Linked DNA regions of Oryza sativa Japonica Group. The protein of the gene in region 2 interacts with the protein of the main gene of each other region in a pairwise test. Links are inferred from orthologs where the notes say so. Each region holds a gene or a part of one and is shown on either strand. Other genes may lie near its edges.

The links.
Region 1: the proteins of fructose-bisphosphate aldolase-lysine N-methyltransferase, chloroplastic (region 2) and homeobox-leucine zipper protein HOX19 interact in binary tests that used the Arabidopsis thaliana proteins (3 or more experiments, as listed by UniProt). The link is inferred for Oryza sativa Japonica Group from reciprocal best matches to the Arabidopsis thaliana genes LSMT-L and HAT22.

Annotation. Positions count from the first base shown.
Region 1 is NC_089037.1:6,978,766-6,982,819, forward strand, and holds homeobox-leucine zipper protein HOX19, read left to right. Parts: upstream 1-1,246; 5' UTR 1,247-1,612; coding exon 1,613-2,074; intron 2,075-2,272; coding exon 2,273-2,352; intron 2,353-2,663; coding exon 2,664-3,009; 3' UTR 3,010-3,659; downstream 3,660-4,054.
Region 2 is NC_089043.1:18,985,102-18,989,253, forward strand, and holds fructose-bisphosphate aldolase-lysine N-methyltransferase, chloroplastic, read right to left. Parts: upstream 2,814-4,152; 5' UTR 2,691-2,813; coding exon 2,185-2,690; intron 2,039-2,184; coding exon 2,010-2,038; intron 1,892-2,009; coding exon 1,680-1,891; intron 1,427-1,679; coding exon 1,304-1,426; intron 1,204-1,303; coding exon 799-1,203; intron 707-798; coding exon 494-706; 3' UTR 391-493; downstream 1-390. Other genes in the region: uncharacterized protein, read right to left, coding at 4,032-4,074. UniProt on the Arabidopsis thaliana protein: Protein-lysine methyltransferase methylating chloroplastic fructose 1,6-bisphosphate aldolases. Can also use with low efficiency gamma-tocopherol methyltransferase as substrate, but not a cytosolic aldolase.

The DNA of each region.
Region 1 (4,054 bases), on a different chromosome or scaffold from region 2:
GTTTGAAGAAACGTACGCGCGGAAAACTAGACTAGGGAGTTGGATCCAGCTCTTGCAAATATAGCCATAGACATGTCGCCACCGTCGTTGACCACTCCCCTTGCACCGTCATGCTTGTTTGCTCAATCAGACGCTATGGAGAGCCCCAAGTCCAATGCTTCAAATTCAGCAGTGGATCCGATACCGGTTACATCCACGGTCTCAGGAGGGACCGATATGGCGTGTCAATGATTTTTGTTTCTTGGATTTGGGGAGTTTGTGTGAATTTTGTCAATGTTTTTTTTAAAACTGACTGTGTATGTTGAATGTGAATTTGATGTGTACTAAATCTGATTGTAGGCTGTGATTGGATTTGTTTTCGGTTTTTTACACCAAAAATCGTTGACTAGTTGGTCTTAACCTAGTCATATGTGAAGATCAATTTTCACATACCGCTGTCTTAAAAAAATCCTCCGTAAAAATGATGATTTTTATGGACCTTTTATTAGAAGAGGTCGTCCGAACCGTGCCTCTCAGTCGATTAATCGATTTTAGCCGCCTGTTTAAAAACCGTTTTTTATAGTGAACCTTAACTAACGCGTGCGCTCATACAAACACAGCTACGACATACCTAACTGCTCTAGAACGCAGGTATACGTGCCCCGCCATTAGCAAGTCACACGAATAGTATAAGCAACCTAGGTCTCTTTCTTTTCTCCGATAAGAGTTAGATAAAGATTAAGATTTTCGTGCCGCGCTTTTCAACTGTGAAAACTTTCTATATGAAAGTTGCTCTAAAATATAATATTAATCTATTTTTTAAGTTTGTAATAATTAAAACTCAATCAATCATACGTTAATACCATCTCATTTTACGTAAAAAAATTTAATCTTTCATCTTCAGAAGAAAAGAACACCACCGTAGCCATCCATTTCGCCATATATAGATTGCTCTTTCATTTCCCGATCGGTTGATTAATTTCGCATGCGTCGCCTTTTGAAATACTATGCAAATTATGGATGCATGTTTGCAATTGGGCCGGCACGAGTTAAGAAGAAAAATGGGCAAACTAGTACTGGTGCATACACAGTGGGTTTGAGAATGACATGGACGCTTCTAATATTTCCGGGCCCTTTTTACACATGGGCGCCCACGTGGCCTTCCAAACGCGCTCAATCCAATCATCCAAACCGAAAAATAAAAAACCCAAACTTTTTTATGCAGTAGTAGTAATTTTCAGAAGAAAGAATGAAAATAAAGGAAAAAGGCTAGCAGAATTGGCTTGGCTCGTCAAACCTTTGGAGTGCGTCCGCGTGTGCGAGCTGCGCCCGTGTGATGTGGGCGGGTGGGTGTTCGTGTCTCCGCTTGTCTCCCCGCGGCGCCCTCCTCAAATATTCTCAACTCCCCAACCAATTCATTCCCCCGAGCTGAGCTGAGCTCTCATTCCTTCCTTCTCCTTTCCGCCGGCCTCGCCTCTCGTCTCCTCCTCTCCCCTACCGATACGCACGCTCGCTTGCTTGCACCTCGCGCGCGAGAGACGAGAGAGAGACGGCGAGCCCTGGCACGCACGAGAAGCGAATCGAAGTGGCGGCGACAGGAGCAGCTGCTGCTGGTGGATTATCCGTCGTCAACATGGCTCAGGAGGACGTCGGTCACCTGAGCGACGCCGGCCTGGCGCTGGGCCTGTCCCTCGGCGGGGGAGGAGGAGGGACGACCGACGCGGCGGCGGCGCACCGTGGCGGCTGCCGGCGGCCGTCGCCGTCGTCGCAGTGCCCGCCGCTGGAGCCGTCGCTGACCCTGAGCTTGCCCGACGACGCGGCGGCCGGCGCGGCCGCGACCGCGACCGCGACCGCGTCCGGCGGGGGCGGCCCTGCGCACAGCGTGTCGTCGCTGTCCGTCGGCGCGGCGGCGGCGGCGGCCGTGAAGAGGGAGCGCGCGGAGGAGGCCGACGGCGAGAGGGTGTCGTCGACGGCGGCCGGGCGTGACGACGACGACGACGGGAGCACCCGCAAGAAGCTCCGGCTGACCAAGGAGCAGTCCGCGCTCCTGGAGGACCGCTTCCGGGAGCACAGCACGCTCAACCCGGTACGTCACGTACGTCCGCGCGTTCTCCTTACGTTCTATTGACTTGCCGCCGCTTAGCCTAGCTGCAGAAAGCTGCACTTGTAGTAGAACACAAGGAGCAAATTAAGATAAAAACATGGCGCATATTAATTTGTGTTTTGTTCATCTTTTTTGATCGAATATATATGGGTCACTGAACCACCGCTTTTGTTTTGTTTCTTCGAGCAGAAGCAGAAAGTCGCTTTAGCGAAGCAACTGAACCTCAGGCCAAGGCAGGTGGAGGTCTGGTTCCAAAACAGAAGAGCAAGGTTAGTATTTTTCATTTTTCGCGACTTTTCTTTCCTCTTCGAGACCAGTATTTTGCAACATGTACACGCGCCAGTGGGCACATATTTGCATCACGTATATATACATATCCTACTACTTTTATCTCAGCAAGAACCTTCAGCGTCGCTTTTCCTTTACGTAATTCAATCATGCATGCATGAGACAAGGATTATGATTATCTCCGTGTGTAGAAAACTAGAAATATTTTGAGAGTGCAGTGCAGTTTGTGGCTGTGGTTGATAACCATTTATCGATCGGTTCGTTTACACGCGTATACTACTACTCCATGCAGGACAAAGCTGAAGCAGACGGAGGTGGACTGCGAGTTCCTGAAGCGCTGCTGCGAGACGCTCACCGAGGAGAACCGTCGGCTGCAGCGCGAGCTGCAGGAGCTCCGCGCGCTCAAGTTCGCCCCGCCGCCGCCGTCCTCGGCGGCCCACCAGCCGTCGCCGGCGCCACCGGCGCCGTTCTACATGCAACTCCCGGCCGCCACGCTCACCATCTGCCCGTCCTGCGAGCGCGTCGGCGGGCCCGCGTCCGCCGCCAAGGTCGTCGCCGCCGACGGGACCAAGGCCGGCCCCGGCCGGACCACCACCCACCACTTCTTCAACCCCTTCACCCACTCCGCCGCCTGCTGATCCGATCCATCCATCCTCATGAATCTGCAGTTCGATCGATCGATCGATCTGCAACACCAAACAGACATAGCACTGCTGCTGACTGCTAGCTAAAGCTTAGTACTACCTCACGTCACAGGTAACATATACACGTGACATACATGGCGATTGGCGACATGATCATCATGCATCATCATCCTCTCCTTGAGCTACTGTTTCTTGCCCTGGGGGATTCCAGCTTCCATTAGCTAGACAGTCCATCTCAGTCAAATCAATCATAGGCTTAATGATAGGATTAGTCAAATTAATTATAGCCGGGCCACAGCTAGTACCCGATCAATGTATATTTTTGTGCATGCATGTAAGTATGTAACTGTGTGCCCCCCTCTCATCACTAGTTAGCTTTACTTTTCTTTTTTGTTTCACAGGCTAGTTAATTTTCAGAGGGGATCATCATGGGGCAGTGCAGTAGCTAGATAGATTAAGCTTGTATACTAGCACTACTGATGGATTAAAATTCTTAGATAGTGTCACACACGCACAGTGTTGGATCGGATGACGACATGAGCTAGCTTAGCTAGCATGCCTGCCTCCCTCCTGTTCGCTCGGCCCTGTCGGGTGCGTGTACATGTGTTTACTTTTGTATGGATATACGTCTCAATGATTGTGTGTGTCGGGGCTCCCCAACTTCAAAAATTTATTGAGTTGCCATCGCTTTCGCCTCTCTGCTGATTATTGGTTAATCAGGAAGAGAGAGCGGGACTTCGCCCTCTCGTCTCATCTTTTTGTTTGCTTAATTAGGACTTGAGAGCGGTAGCTAGCCATCTGGATCTCTGCTCTGCTGCACGCCATATTAATTAACCCAAGGCAATTTTAACACGTACGGCCACACCACCACTCGCGATCGACTCTTGCTGCGGGTACGTAGCACATACATGATCGGCCGGTTGCACGTACTGTTGGACACTGACGGTTTCCGTGCGATCATACTATAGTAGTAGCTAGTTCGTTGAGTAATTACTGCACTTAGGTATAGTCAGCGTCGAAGCTAGTTGCCCTTGCTAGC
Region 2 (4,152 bases):
GTGAATCCGATCGAACAAAGAGAAGCGCCCACAAATACCTTGATACAGTTTGGAGTTTGGACTCTGCCACAAATGTGTAACAAAGTGGCCAAAATGTGAAATGTGCCTCGTCAATTTGAACCGATTTAAGCGCAATTTATAGGCTTTTTTAATTAAAAAAAAGTTCGGTTGACGTGTTTGAAATGCAATAACACTACAAGTACTAGTGCAAATGTGCAATGATGTCCAATTTTTGTTTGTATGAAGGAAAATATTGATTTCAGGAATTGAAGTGATATGACTACTGGTAGAGTGGAAGTCATAATTTTGAATGTTGGCGATAATTCCAACTTTGTGGAGTACTCCGTAAACATCTACTACTATTGCACTGGTTACGGCACAAGGTGCATGTGCTAGAATATCATTTTTTTTCTCTTTTTCTTTCATTAATTTGCTATTGCACAGTGGCATTTTACAAAACCTTCTCTACCCTCAGAAAATGAATAAAAAGTCTCTAGGATTCCCAGAAGATAATTTCACCATTGTCGCCAACTAAACCAATATCCTTGAGTCTCCGTTCTTGGTAGTACTCTAGGCCATCCAGTTCCTCCTCCCTCTGCTTGAAAATGTCATCAATCTGCTGTAGCACTTTCTTCTCACCGGCCCTGACTTCAACGGCAATTTGAAGCCTTGGCTGAAGATTTTCACTTCCCAACAGTTCTTCGTCCTACATATATTTTGACATGTTTCGTAATACTAATTTGGAGATAATAACATAAAAAAGAAAATGAACAATGCTTATTCGGGTTATAAACATACCTCTTCTATGGTAGTGTGGTAAGCACCAAGGGCAGATTTGCAGGCATTTCGGATGACCTGACATATCGCTTCTTCATTATCTTGACTCACTGGCAGTTCAAGGTGGCCCCAAACAGCATTTCTGAAGAGTGCTTCCAAGAGAAATGCATCTGTTCCCCCAAGGCAGAGTAATCGCAGGTAAGGTAGCATTTGAGGAGGAAGAGATTCACCAAGGACAATATCAAAGTATGCAGTCTCCCCCATCCCATTTAGCTCTGCAATGTCAAGCTTGTCATCATAAAATGGATCAGATTCAGATATCTCCAAGGTCAGAGTATATGCATCCCTTGATGAATTTGATTCGGTGAAACCATAATCAAGCGCTAATTCTGCGTTGCTCTTGTCCAAATCATACTGAATATATATCTGTCAAAACATTATTTAGTATATAAATGTTGTCAGTGAACAAAAGTCACAGCTGCACAACTATATGATTTCCTTAAAATGAATAAATGGGAACTTGTACCTGTTCTCCAGATTTAACATTCACCGGTGTTCGCAAAGAAAACACAACATCCCTACCAAAAAGACCCTTTCCTTTGATCTCCCAACTGGACTCTTTTGAGGTTATATCATCGCTGTGATTTACCTGGTTTGGCAAAGCACCAAAATGATTAGAACATAATGGTTTCCCAATATTTTGGTTGGATTTGTATTATATATCGAGGGAAAAGTATTGAAAGAGCATATTATAGTGTATAATAAAAATATTCTGAACGTTTTGGCATGACAAATTACAGGCATGGTTTCCAGTGGTATCTATTTTGCAAAGATAAGTCGGTTCACAGCATGTTGGAAAAGCAAATAGAAAATGCAGGCATGATTGCATTTCAAGATCTTACAAGATCAGCAAATGGTATGAGAGCAAGCTTATCTCCACGGAGCTCCGCAAACACCCGTGATCTGAGTATGCCGAATGCCCATAGGAAATCATTGAATGTTACAGTACCAGGAAAGAGCTCCCTGTTCTCGCTTATGATCTCAGCTTCAACACTCTCAAATTCACTCTGCACATACTCCTTCACACCCATTGTTGTGCTCAGTAACTGTGTTCCTGCAAGGAACAAAAGCATACAGATTTCAACAAAGATACTAGCAACCAGTATGAACAAAACGAGCTCGCTTTGTAATTTAAATTCATGGATTTTGAACTTTTTGCAATGGACGCCCACCTTGTATCTCCAAGAGCTCTTCTTCTGACCTGCACTGGAGGCACGAAGCAAACCACTCAAAAGCATCAGCACGGAGAGGAATGTGAGGTTAATCGTGATGAACCACCCAAAACAAAAAGGAGCATTTCGTCGAACACATGAAGAGCGATGAGCGATCAGCATCACCTCAACTCACCAGAAGATGGTGGAGTCGGTCTGGCGCGGGAGGATGGCGAGGTAGGGCGCCCACGGCGAGCCGGCGCCGCGGGCGGCCTCGCGGAGGAGAAGCAGCGCGACGGCGACCCAGGGCCTGAGCCCCCCGCGGCCGACGGCGCCGCCGAGGTCGGAGGCCGCGACGGCGTCGGCGTCCAGCCAGAGCTTCTTGGGCACCTCGGCGAGCACCTCCCCGCGGGGCAGGTCCCGCGCCGCGACGAGGCCGAGGCCACCCTCGGGGACGGCGGCGGGCGCCGCCGCGCCGGCCCCCGCGTCCGCGCCGTGGGACGACACCCAGCGCCTGAACTCCTGCAGCGCGGCGTCCGTGGGCGGCGGCGCGGCCGCGGTCGACGACGACGTCCCGGCCGCTGCGCCGGACGCGGCCGCGCGGCGGGGGAGCGGGCGCCGGAGGCGGAGGCGGGGAGGCTGCGGGTGGACGGAGAGGAGGCGAGGAGGGAGGAGGTGGTGGTGGTGGATGGCAGCAGCCATGGCGCGCAGCCAGAAGGCGGACGAGAGCGGGGTTGCGGATTAGAGGAGACGACGACCGTTGGTTCCGCGCGCTCTTGGGGGACTATGGATATGAACAGTCGCTCACAGCTGCTCCGTCAAGACCGTCAAGGCCCTTTTATTAGTTTTAGGCTTAGCTTATTTGTTTAGAATTTTAAGTTACTAGTTTATTGGTTTGTATATGATTTATAAACCGATGAATTTAATGTTTTAAGGTTAGTGATGAAGTTATACATCTATCTCACATAAGAAAAAAAACTTCTCCAACCAAGTTTTTGGGTTAACAGTGTTAGAGTGGCTTATGATTTTAAAAAGACATTACTTGTTTGTTTAGTCTTAAACTTTTCGGTTTATAAATTGGCTTATAAGCCTAAATAAAGAGGGTCTAAATTCTGCTTATCGGTGTCGTTAGCTCAAAGCAAGCTACGTACCAGATTTCATTGAATAAAACAGAAGTAAAAAGTTTGTATAGTCGTGAAAGAAAATATCCAAAAAAGTAAAACTGAGGATGAGCTCCGACAGACGTTTCACTCCAACTGAGTTTCACCTTCCTCCTTGATTTTCACCACCCACGCCATTTCCGTTGTGGAGAAGTTTACACAGTAGTATTATGGTTCAATTCAGGCTGAGATCAAGTACTTCCTCCGATTCATATCATAATACTTTCTAGCATTATCCACATTCATATAGATGTTAATGAATCAAGATATATATGTGTATAGATTCATTAACATCTATATGAATATGGACAAATGCTAGAAAGTCTTGATTCATTAACATATATATGAATATAGACAATGCTAGAAAGTCTTATAATATGAAACGGAGAGTAGAACTTATGCTTTCTAAACACTGAGTTGACTGAATATAAGTGTCATCGTCTAAAAGCTCTTGACATTCGGGAGATTCCCAGGACAGCAAGCCAGCAACAGGAAACCACATCTACAAATGCTATGTTACTCGGGATAAATTGCTTATATGGCGCACAAGGTTTACGCATTTTCTAATTTTCAGGCAAGACCCGCCTTGTCGTAAGAGGAGGAACCATCCAATTAGAGACATAACAATAGCTAACAAGATGCCAATTAGATAAGAGACACAGACAAATGCTAAATCTCAGCATATCCCAAATAGATGTCATGCTTGACACCACAGGTTACTTACAGAAAGCACAGTTTTTCAAGACTCTTTCAGAGAGCATTAGAAAGGCTAAACATAGAATATGGATGCCCGTCATTCAGTGCTTATTAAGTTGACAGAGACACGAGGCATCTGCATCTTGTATAGACTGAGGTGCTTCTGTTCCAACCTGAAGCAGACTGATCAGTTCTTCCTTCCTTCACAGAGGATGAAGTGGTACCCATGCCTGAATGTAAACAAACAATGATCATGTTAACTGGTTAATGATGAGGCAGGCGATTAATAATCTAAAGGTGATAACAGT